Linked DNA regions of Canis lupus familiaris. The protein of the gene in region 2 binds, or shares a complex with, the protein of the main gene of each other region. Links are inferred from orthologs where the notes say so. Each region holds a gene or a part of one and is shown on either strand. Other genes may lie near its edges.

What was found. The genes of interacting proteins can lie anywhere in the genome.
Region 1: the proteins of GLE1 (region 2) and NUP42 are in contact, whole or in part, in a crystal structure (PDB 6B4I), measured with the Homo sapiens proteins. The link is inferred for Canis lupus familiaris from reciprocal best matches to the Homo sapiens genes GLE1 and NUP42. Residues at the interface, in NP_001003722.1 of Homo sapiens: Ile385, Ile593, Leu598, Asn599, Trp602, Arg603, Ala606, Gln607, Leu609, Asn610, Gln636, Tyr637, Gln638, Val639, Gln640, Lys643, Met644, Ile646, Leu647, Glu650, Asp651, Tyr652; in NP_001357375.1 of Homo sapiens: Asp185, Asn186, Val187, Leu188, Phe189, Gln202, Phe203, Gln204, Ser205, Lys206, Lys207, Phe208, Leu210, Gly211, Lys212, Ile213, Pro214, Leu215, Lys216, Pro217, Pro218, Leu222, Leu223, Asn224, Val225.
Region 3: the proteins of GLE1 (region 2) and DDX19B are in contact, whole or in part, in a crystal structure (PDB 6B4J), measured with the Homo sapiens proteins. The link is inferred for Canis lupus familiaris from reciprocal best matches to the Homo sapiens genes GLE1 and DDX19B. Residues at the interface, in NP_001003722.1 of Homo sapiens: Lys416, Lys419, Met420, Gln423, Lys424, Thr427, Ile428, Ser431, Gln432, Ile433, Ser434, Thr435, Ile436, Lys440, Gln458, Ser459, Gly460, Lys479, Lys483, Lys486, Gln487, Glu490, Glu491, Ser494, His495, Gln554, Gln562, Asn565; in NP_009173.1 of Homo sapiens: Cys325, Asn326, Tyr328, Gly329, Ala330, Ile331, Thr332, Ile333, Ala334, Glu356, Gly357, His358, Gln359, Arg378, Arg380, Glu381, Gly382, Lys383, Glu384, Lys385, Glu400, Gln401, Ser403, Phe433, Gly434, Lys435, Arg436, Asp469, Asp470, Leu471.

Annotation. Positions count from the first base shown.
Region 1 is NC_049235.1:36,944,648-36,948,702, forward strand, and holds the start of NUP42 (nucleoporin NUP42), read left to right. Parts: upstream 1-1,255; 5' UTR 1,256-1,355; coding exon 1,356-1,467; intron 1,468-1,616; exon of another isoform or gene 1,617-1,770; intron 1,771-1,776; exon of another isoform or gene 1,777-2,012; coding exon of another isoform or gene 2,013-2,066; intron 2,067-3,659; coding exon 3,660-3,888; intron 3,889-4,055.
Region 2 is NC_049230.1:55,113,850-55,116,455, forward strand, and holds part of GLE1 (nucleoporin GLE1), read right to left. Parts: intron 2,528-2,606; coding exon 2,423-2,527; intron 1,228-2,422; coding exon 1,145-1,227; intron 727-1,144; exon of another isoform or gene 475-726; intron 428-474; coding exon 364-427; intron 1-363. UniProt on the Homo sapiens protein: Required for the export of mRNAs containing poly(A) tails from the nucleus into the cytoplasm. May be involved in the terminal step of the mRNA transport through the nuclear pore complex (NPC).
Region 3 is NC_049226.1:76,889,228-76,893,371, reverse strand, and holds the start of DDX19B (ATP-dependent RNA helicase DDX19B), read right to left. Parts: upstream 2,801-4,144; 5' UTR 2,778-2,800; coding exon 2,604-2,777; intron 1-2,603. UniProt on the Homo sapiens protein: ATP-dependent RNA helicase involved in mRNA export from the nucleus.

The sequences.
Region 1 (4,055 bases), on a different chromosome or scaffold from region 2:
TAAGCGAATTTTTTTTTTTTAATTTCTTAAGTAAGTTCTACACCCAGCGTGGATCCTGAACTCACCACCCTGAGATCAAGAGTTGCATGCTCTACTGCCTGAGCCAGCCAGGTGCCCCACATGGCTGTTTTCGTTTTTTAATAAACTAGGTCAGGGCACCTTGGTTGGCTCAGTCAGAAGGGCATGCAACTGGATCTCAGGATGGGGAGTTCCAGCCCCACCTGGGGCTTAGAGATTACTTAAATAAGAACTTTACATTTTAGCAGTTATTCCCAGTGCTCCTGTGGATTCCAGTGTATCCAAAATCCGAAGATGTGAGCAAGAACAATGACCAATCATCCTAAACCAGCAGGAACAAACCTGTGATCCACCAAAGTCCTATTTGTTGCCTCTGGGAAACCACAGAGACCGCGAACCAGAAGAACCCGTAGGGTGTCTCACCGTACAAAGGAAAAAAAAAAAAAAAAGACAACGAAGACTTGTGGGCATGAGCTTAGGTACCTAAGACTTGTGGGCATGAGCTTAGGTAAAATGATAAGCTCAAAGCAAAGCTGAGCTGTGGGTGAAGGCATCAACCTCGGATCTGGACTGAGAAGTGGAGGTAGGACCGTGTTTCCTCGGAAATTACCAATTCAAGAAAAATAAGGAATGCCCCCTTCAGGAACGCCGCCTGATCGGAAGCTCTGCACCTGGGCACAAGTCGAAGCTGCTTCCCGGTGTCCAAGTGACTTCGTTCCTCCGGCCGAGAGTGAGAATGTTTCATTCTCTTTGATACAATTTCAAACAGCAGCGCGCACCTGACCCTTAAAGAACTGGCTTTCTAAGAGCGTAAGAATTGCAGTGTTCATCCAAAGGTGGGGCTGTGAGGATACTTTTCAGTTGCAGTCTGCCCTTAAAGGAAACAGTTTTCCGTTTGCCCTCTAACCGGTGTTTCCTGTTTCCCGCCTGATGAGTGGCTGCGCAGATCTCTGCTTTCTCAACGGTGCAAACGAAATACACAACTCGGGTCTCTCAAGCCACAGCTATCCCTCCCCTCCAGGTCCCCGCTGAAGACCGCAGTTCCCTTAACTCGCTTCCCTATCACCTCGCACCCTCAAGCCGCCCTCGAAATCCGCAGCCACGCTAACTCTCGGAGCATTCAGCTTTCCCAAGCTCGACCCGAGGGCAGGGGCCGCCCCGCTCTTCTCAAACCCTATTGGGCAAAATCCACGCCTCTCATCCCGGGGCCGGGCAAGAGAGACGAAAGGGCGCGAGAAGATGACGTCACGGCAGCGGGGAGGGACCTTCGGTTGCTTCGGGCTCTCCGTCCGCTCTGGGTGCTGACAGAAGACCGTTCCGTGGGCGACGCCGTCGCAATGACCATTTGTCAGTTCTTCCTTCAAGGCCGGTGCCGCTTTGGAGACCGGTGCTGGAACGAACATCCCGGCGCCGGGGGTGCGGGCGGAGGACGGCAGCAACAGCCCTCAGGTGACGTTCTCCTCCATCCGCCGCCGCTAGCGGAGCGGGGGAAGGCCTGGCGCCAGGGCCGTCGGGCGGAGAACGGGCGTCCGGCGTGGGGCCCGCTCGGCGCAGCGCGGCGGCGGCGCAGCAGTCGAGTGACGCTGACGTGCCCGCGTCGTCCGGCCTTCGGCCCCGCCCCCCGGGCCCGGCGCAGGCTCTCCCCGGCGCCGCTACCCGCTGTGTGGGCGTCCCGCTGATTTCTGCCGTGGGGATGAAGACAGAGTCTTGGCCTTTGGTACTAATGCGAAACCATGAGTTTCTAAGTTGGAAGTACGTGTCGTAACTGCCTTGTCTGTGGGTGGTAAAGGTCCGGAGAACTGGTCTAGGTCGACCCAGACGCCGCCTCGCTTTACCTAAACCCCACCTTCTGGGTGCTTGTTGTTTTTTTCTTCACCCTTGACACTCTAAGTATAATTTTTACGAAACTTTTCCCGAGAGAGAGAGGCTCGCAGCTGGGGGCCAAAGTCTGGATTCTTGGCTTTGGGGAAGTCGCAGACTCCTTTGAACGTGTGATGTCAGCTACAAAGCTCTTGCTCTGGCGAATGTACGTGCTCGTAACATTGAAGGTAAAATCGGAAGAGTGTGTTGCCCCAGTTAAGAACTCTGGGCTGTGAGGGAAGGGGGTGTCGGAGGACCGTGTGGACCCACCTGCTGGGTCTGAGTCATCGTCAGAGGTTTTGGAGTATTTAAGCCAGTTGTGCATGATGCGGAAGGATTGTGCTCAAGGAGAGGAGGAACCAGAAATGAAACCAACACAAGGTTTTATTTGTTTGTTTGTTTGTTTATACAAAGTTTTAAAGGTCAGATGAACAGTCAGGTTTTTCTTTGTTTAGGATCGAAGCTTAAGTCCTTAAAGTTGTCACAAGATGCTGACCCCACTCTCTTCCCTTCCCTCTTTCAGGATTGTCCATCTGACCCATAATCTATGTTGCAGTGTGATTTCACCTCCGATGCCTCTTCTTGAAAGACAGTCGTTTTTGCATCACCCACACTTCACCTCGTGAAATGTTCCAAAGCAAATTTTTTTTTTTCTTTTTTTAGGATTTGGGGTCTGATCATTGTGCGTGTATTTCCTGGGAAGGGGCTGCTTAATACTTGGCACTCTATAGAGACTCACTCTAGACGTAGTAATTAGAAAATAAATATTGAATGGGATTGATGGATGAAGAAAGCATAGATAAAACTCATCAAGTAAACAGTATTTATCTCCCAGAAACGAATGTTCTATAATTAATCAGTGAAGGCCAAAAGCTATGAATTTCTTCAAAGGATTTGGAACTTAAGAAAAATAAAATACCATTGACCCTCACACGAGGGATCTGTTTTCTTGTTAGGTAGTTGTAGAGTTGGGAGATGAACTTTCATGAAGGAGTATATCTCCCATCATTCTAGTTCTTAATATAATCTAATGGAGTGTCTCCTAATTTAGTCAGAAACAAGGCAAATTATCTTGGCCCCAACTAGGGAGTGATGAGTAAATGAGGTAGTTTAAGTGATAAGATTTTTTTAAATAGAGAGGAGAGAGTCCTGTTGGCTCATTGTGATAATTATGAAATATTAGAATCTGCTCATAATAGAAGAACTGAGTGCATTTTATTCATGTGTAAATTACAATCTCTCTATGAAAGATAGGTGGGTAAGTGTTTTCCCTGAGAGAAGATTGAATCAACTAGATTTAAGCATCTATTCAAGGACAGAGGGTGGAATCTAATTTTTTATGTCCAGCAACTCTTTAATACATTGTCCATTTTTCAGCCTTTACTGCTATATAGGGCCTAGTGGGAAAGCAAAGAATGGTAAAGACAGCTTTTTATCCTGAAGGAGCTTATGACTTAGGTTACATCCTAAACCCACTATCAAGCAGTTGTTTACTTAATAAACTTATATCACTGAACTTAGTAATATATCATTATTTTTCGATGGGTTTACAGTCCTCTCAATCTTGTTAAACAAAAAATACCATTAGACCATTACTTGATTTGCTGGTTACAAGTAACTATATAAATCAAAAATGAAGAGTTTTGTGATTTAAAATGAGTGGAAGTATGGTGCTTGTTGAATCTTTGCATCATGTCTGCACATAATAAGACAATATAATGAAAATTTTTGAGACTTAAAAGAGAAGTTGCCAATAAAATTATTTTATCGTTTATTTTCAGGTAGTAACAGACGTGGATGGAATACCACCAGCCAAAGATATTCCAGCGTTATTCAGCCATCCAGCTTCTCCAAATCAACACCATGGGGGGGCAGCAGAGATCAAGAAAAGCCATCTTTTGGTTCCTTGGATTCTGGAGCTTCAACTAGCAGGAACAGGGGGTTTGGATTGTCCCAGAACCCATTTGCTTCACCCAGTTCTGATGGGCAGAAAGATGAAAAGAAACTTCTGTAAGTGAAAGTCTTTAGAAAAAATTACTACCCATTTGCTCTTTTTTCAAAAATACCTACAATATTTTCTTTAAGAAAAGTAATACATTATTAAAAAATCAGAATAAGCAAAGACAAGAAAAAGTACCCATGATCCTATCACTCAGAGAGAACCATTGTTTTGCATA
Region 2 (2,606 bases):
ACCAGAGTCATTAAGTATACTTTATTCACCCCTAGGACAGCTTCCCCTCCGGCAGCATAGACGGCGGTGTGCATGAGGATGAAATGCCACCCCTGACAGCAAAGGGAAATCACAGGCAAAAAAAGTAGGGTTGAAAAAAGTCAAGATAGGGGCACCTGGCTGGCTCAGTTGCAAGAGCAGGTGACTCTTGATCTCAGGGATGGGAGTTTGAGCCCCACATCAGGTAGAGATGACTTATATAAATCAAATTACAAACTCAAGAGGAAGAGATGCAATCTGAGCCCAGAAGTCCACGACTTGTCAGACACAGGCACCCTCGAGGTCAACCACAACTCAGCACTTGCTGGTCTAAGGACATATTACCTCTAAGAACTGCTTGAGGCGTATGAAGGAACCCATTTGTCCTGAGCTTGTGATGGCTTCAATCCTGCAGGGAGAGGAAGAAGACACACAAATCACAACTGTGATTCCTACCTCCCTCCTGGAGAGGAGTTCGGGACGCTGCTGATCCAGAGGAAGGATTAGGTGGAATGACTCGAAGAGATGACTTCTGGGCTCAGGATGCTGTCATTCGTCCAAATGATCTCAGCTGCCTACTCAAACCAGGAGATAAAGGAGAACAGAGGACATTCCTTTCCAAGGTCTTTGCAGGCAGGCAGGATGGGTGCTGCTAAAACCTCTCCCTCGGCTGAAATGCCAGTGTGTTGAAAGGAATGAGAAGGGCACCTAAAGGCAAACACCATGGGTCAAGCCAACTGGTTTGTTTGTAAATCAGTTTCTCCAACTGATTTATTTTATTTTATTTTATTTTTTTTCCAACTGATTTATTAAGGGAGTTTTAACTCCTTGGTTAATTCATGATTGCGTGTGGTCACCATTCCAGATCAGCTGAGGGAGTTTGGAAAATAGTTAAATGTCAGGTATCTGAATCCAGGATCTTCCTAATTTAGCTTTTTCATTTAGCTAATAGTATTTAAGATACTCTCACTACAATTCTAAAATCAAAGAGAAGGATGAGAGATGTCACACTTGATATAGGTGCATTTAGCTGAGTCAAACCCAGCATGTAACTGCACCCAAGGGCATCTGACACTGTATGTTTCACCCACTGAATCCCATGCTGTCTATTCAATAAGCCACATACCTGGGGAAGTAGTCTTCTTTGATGAGAAGGATCATCTTCCAGAACTGTACCTGGTACTGCTTCATGAGGGCATTCCCACACACCTACAGGGAAGGACAGGCATGGTCAGAGCAGAGGATGCACATTTATACACATGCCAGAGATCTGTAAAGCACATCGGCTCTTTGCTTTTCACTCCTACCAAGAATTTCAGCCACAATACCACTTAGCACCTTACCTAAGCAAGGGAATAAATGGAAAGATCCAACTTTTTTCTGAAGCATTTCTCTGTATATGACAATATCTCCATTAAATCAACCACCAAGAAACCAAGTATTTTAGCAAACTAGAAAATATGAATCAAACTTTATTATTATTCTTTGATTCTACTGAATGGAAACTTTTCTAAAGTAATGGTGTTCCTCCCAACCATAGTAAGCAGAGCATATAGAACATCACCATGTTCTCAAGTTTATTCATGATCTCTGCTCACATCCTGTGACTTCAGGAACTCTAAGATGAATGGAAATGTTTGGCATTCTAGGCTCAATGGCCCACATCCATTACAGTATGTGCACCAGGGCTTTAATTTTTAAGAAATGTCTCCTTTCCACAGAAACCCTTACCGTCACCCCTATAGTGGTGGCCCCTCATAGGCAGACAGAACTATAAGGAATCTTCTGGATAAGGGAGAAACCTGACCCAAGCTGGCTGATCATATTTGCTCTGCCAGGTATGAGGGATCACAAAGATGGGACGGTAGTCCCACTACACTGGGCAACCACACTGAGGCAGAGGGCTATAGCCCAGGATGACTATCTGCTCCACTGTGCACAGAGAACCAGAGAAAGCTGGCCTATGGAGCAAGAATGAGGCATCCCTGCAGGAAGGGCACAGGAAGGGCACAGGAAGGACTATGTGGCCCCAGAGAGACTCTTGGTGCCTGGTAACATTCTAGTTCCTGATTCCAGGCCCACATGAGAGTCAACTACACATCCTGCCTTTGGTTCTGGGAGTCACTTCTCTATCCCTAAAACAAACGTCCCTTTTTGCTTGTGCTGGAATGTACGGTTTTTTTCTTTGTTACAATGAGAAGACAAGCACACAGAGAAGGAAAGCACAGTAGGAAGAAAAACCAAAAGCTAGGTGTGTCTTTAGCATTTGGGAAAAAAAAATGTGTGACACTGAATCCTAATGCTGTTCACCATCAGCCTGTCTCTATATTGCTTCCTGATTCAGGTCACACCATGGCCAAAGGCTGCTTCAACCACTGTCTCGTGTGATAACTGCATTACTTACCTCCAAGAAGTCAAAGAGGAGGGTGGCTGTCACATCTGACAGGGGCTCCATGTTTAAGATTTGTGCCAACCAGCGCCAACCATGACTTAAGCCATGAGGATGAATCTGGGAGGGGAGACACTTGGTCATGATTTGATCATTGGATCTAGGGATCTAAACCCCCAAAGTTAATCTCCAGCCATTA
Region 3 (4,144 bases), on a different chromosome or scaffold from region 2:
AGAGAAAACAGAGGAGGAGAAATCAATAATGAAATTTTTCAAGAAAATTTCTCATAACTTAAGGACAAGAATTTTCCAGATTGAAAGGACCCACCCAGGAATGCCTGGCTGGCTCAGTCAGAAGAGTATGCAACTCTTGATCTCAGGGTTGTGGATTTGAGCTCCACATTGGTTGTAGAGATTACTTAAAAATAAAATTGAAAGAAAAGAAAGGACCTACCCAGTGCCCAGCAAAGTGGATGAAAACAGACCTATACCAGGACTCATTATCATGAGTTTTCTGTGTACTGGAAACAAATAGAAGATTCTTATGGATTATGGGATCCCTGGGTGGCGCAGCGGTTTAGCGCCTGCCTTTGGCCCAGGGCGCGATCCTGGAGATCTGGGATCGAATCCCACGTCAGGCTCCCGGTGCATGGAGCCTGCTTCTCCCTCTGCCTGTGTCTCTGCCTCTCTCTCTCTCTCTCACTGTGTGCCTATCATAAATTAAAAAAAAAAAAAAAAAAAAAAGATTCTTATGGATTACAAATGAGAAAACAGGTCACATCAGGAATCAGAATGGTCTCAGACATCTCAATAACCAATAAAGAAGTCTAAAAGGCAATGAGACAATGCCTTTAAAATTTGGTAGGCAATTAATTCCCAACCTGCAGCTCTAGACCGAGCCATACCACTATCCAAATGATAGAGCAAAATAATTATTTCCAGAAATGCAATATTATCTTTAAAAAACTTCTTATATACTCCAGAAAGCTGGATGGATGGTTGCACAAAATCAAGAAAGATGAAGAGAGGATACAGAAAGGAGGGGATCCAGTACAAGAGAAGAGGAGTGAATCTTCAGAATGAAGGTGAAGGGAAATCTGTCTTGTTCCTCTCCAGTCCTTGAAATGAGTTCTGCTCTAAACCTAGGGAGAACTAGTCCAGTATGAAGTAGGCTAAAAGACCTGGGGGAAATAGAATTAATAGACTTTTTTTTTTAAATTAAAGATTCTAAAAATAAATAAATAAATAAATAAATTCTTAGGCAGCCGAGGTGGCCCAGTGGTTTAGCACTGCCTTCAGCCCAGGGCATGATCCTGGAGACCCAGGATCGAGTCCCATGTCAGGCTCTCTGCATGGAGCCTGCTTCTCCCTCTGCTTGTGTCTCTGCACCGACCCTCCCTCCCCCGTCTCTCATGAATAAACAAACAAAATCTTTAAAAAATAATAATAAAAATTAAAGATTCTAGGGACGCCTGGGTGGCTCAGTAGTTGAGCATGATCCCAGGGTGCTGGGATCGGGTCCTGCATTGGGCTCCCGTGGGGAGACTGCTTCTCCCTCTCCCTATGTCTCTGCCTCTCTCCCTGTATCTCTCATGAATAAGAAATAAAATCTTTAAAAATAATAAGTTTTTTTGTTTATTTATGAAACAGTGGGAGGGGCCAGAGAGAGAATCTTAAGCAAACTACACACTGAGCACGGACCCCCACATGGGGCTGGATCTTACCACCTCAAGATTGTGACCTGAACTGAAATCAAGAGTCAGTTGGTTAACTGACTAAGCCACCCAGGCCCCCCGAATTAATAGAATACTTAATTTGTCTGAACATCCTGAGATAAACTAAACAATTAGCAAAGTGCCTGAGGTTGAACTGGTGATAAGTACAAAAAAAACCATGAAGCGTGTTTTTTATAAATTCCAAGGAAAAACAAAACTTTATAGGAAAGTAAAAGTATCATAAGCTACTAATAAGATAAACATGAAATACTGATCTAACTAAAATTACAATATAATGAAAAGGTAAGGAATGGGAAGGTGTGCGTGTGTGGTGGAGAAAGGATGGAGGAAAGAATTAAAATCAGTAAATACCTAAAATTGAAAATTCAAGAACTAGCAAAACCCTGTGATTTAGAGAACAAGGAGGTCAATGATGTATATCCGTTTCAAGAGAACTATTAGTTTTTCTCTGGGAAGGAAAAATTGGTGGTGGTGGAACCAGTTTTCAAAACTACTTGACTCTTTGAATTATGTGCATATAATTTATTATCAGTTGTATAAAAAATAAGAAAGAGTCCTTATTCTCAAGAAATTCACAGAAGTACTAACAGAAGTAGGTTCAAAGTGTTTAGGTGGAAGGAGTTAATTCCACATAGTCATGTTTAAGTCATATCTTGCTTACTGTGTACTAAGCCCAGAACAAAATTAAGGTGATCAGAGAAGAGGATTTACTGACTACCGGGCCAATGGAGTCGTTCATTCATCATCAGTAAGCAAGTAAGGAAGCACACAAAGATGAGTAAGCCACAATCCCAGAGCTCAGGAAGCTCACAATCCAGAGGTAGGGAATGACACAGGGAGATTATAATCCAAGTGGGGAGAGCGCAATCTCGATCAGTCTGGATTCCAGAAGACAGGCGGCTGGGCGCTAGATCCATGGGAGCACTCACCTGCTCTTATGTAACCCAGGAGGCGGATGGATAAACAAAGCCAGCTCAAGGTTCAGGCTCCAGCCTCACACGCATCCTATACCGTCCTGGCCAAAGCAGCGAGTGTCCTACACAAGGGTGATCCCCGGCCAAAACTGACCCCCTGACCCATTTACGCCTGAAGCCAACTCACCGACTCAGCCGCCGCCTCCTGTTCGTCCACCGCCAGGGCCCACGAGTCGGTGGCCATGGTCCCAGGCGCCGGCGGGACGCTGGTGCTGGCAGACTCGCTGGCTGGGGCGGCGCGATCGTGGGCTCCCTGGCGTCGCAGCAAGCCCAGCTCCCGCCCCACCGAGGGAGCAGTCATTCGCTCGGGAGCTGGGGACCGGAAGCGGCGCGCCGCAGTGACGTCGGATCTGCGCCCGCCCAGCCGCCCCTCGCCCCCCGGGAGCTGCAGCTTCCGTCGCTTTCGGACCCCCGGCGCTGACCCTTGCTTAGCTCTGTCTACCTGGTGAACAGAGACGCAGACTGCCAACTGGACCTCCAGGCCACGAGCGCGCTGGCACAGAAGCTCATAGAGAGCCAATCTATCAAAACACAGGACCTTTACTAATACAGGCGTCACCAAAATGCGTATTGAGACGATCTTTTTCTCTTCAGGACAGTCATTTCAATGCCCAGGGGTTGGCAATCAGCCATGTCAAGCACCATTTGGTTAAAAGTTTGTCCTGCAGACTATGTCGGCAACACGACTTGCAGGAATTTCACTTTCAAAAATACTCAAGGAAGGTGCTAGGGAAATGTGTTCCAGGGAGAGGAGAGAAAAGGCCAGGAGGCCTGTGTCTGAAGGACACAGTTCCTGCGGGGATTGACAAGAACCAGAGATGAAGAGATTGGAGGTAGAGGCAATGGGCCATGCAAAGCAGCTTAATGAGCAAATGAATTCATTCCAGGGAACATCGCGAATCTGACAGGACTTTTGGAGTTAGCTGTGCCTGGAATGGAATCCCTAGTGCTTCCATGTAAGAGTTGTGTGATTGGGGGAATTTTTTTAAAAGGAAAAAAATACCTTGGATTTTTAGAAGAGGTAAAATAATAATGTCTGACACCCGCTATCCCCTAACTGAAAACAAACAAGGTTCTCTCCCCTTGTTACTTCACTGATAAGAAGCTGGGCATTTTCCTGCAAGGTGAGAAGATGAATCCTCACTTCTCTTTGCCACTTTTCTTCAGCAAATTAATTTTAAGCAGTAGTGGGCTCTATGTGGGATTTTACTTCAGAATATGAGTAAGAAAGTTCAGGAAAGGTAAAGCAGTTCCAGGCAATACTTTATTTGCCATGGCTCTTTTTCTCCTGTACTCTTGAGGGAATTAATTTGGTGAAGATTTTTTTATTTTTTGGAACCTACAGGAAGGACGTGCAAAAAGAAAAAGGCAAACACACAGTGAGGGAAGCCGTGACCTACATCTCATATCGGAAGCAGCCCTGGGAATATCTTGCCAGCAAAGTTATATTGATCACAGGGCTAATGAAGGCTAAAGACTTTTTTTTTTTTTTAAGTTTAATGCGGTTAAAAAGGAAATCATCCAAAGTGCAATACTGTATATAGTAGGATCCACTTGTGAGGAGATAAAAAAAAAAAAAAAAAAAACCTCTCATGTGTTTGTAGGTACTATAGAAAATGTATGAGATACACACAAAACTGCTAACAGCTGCTCCTAGTGAGGGGCTCT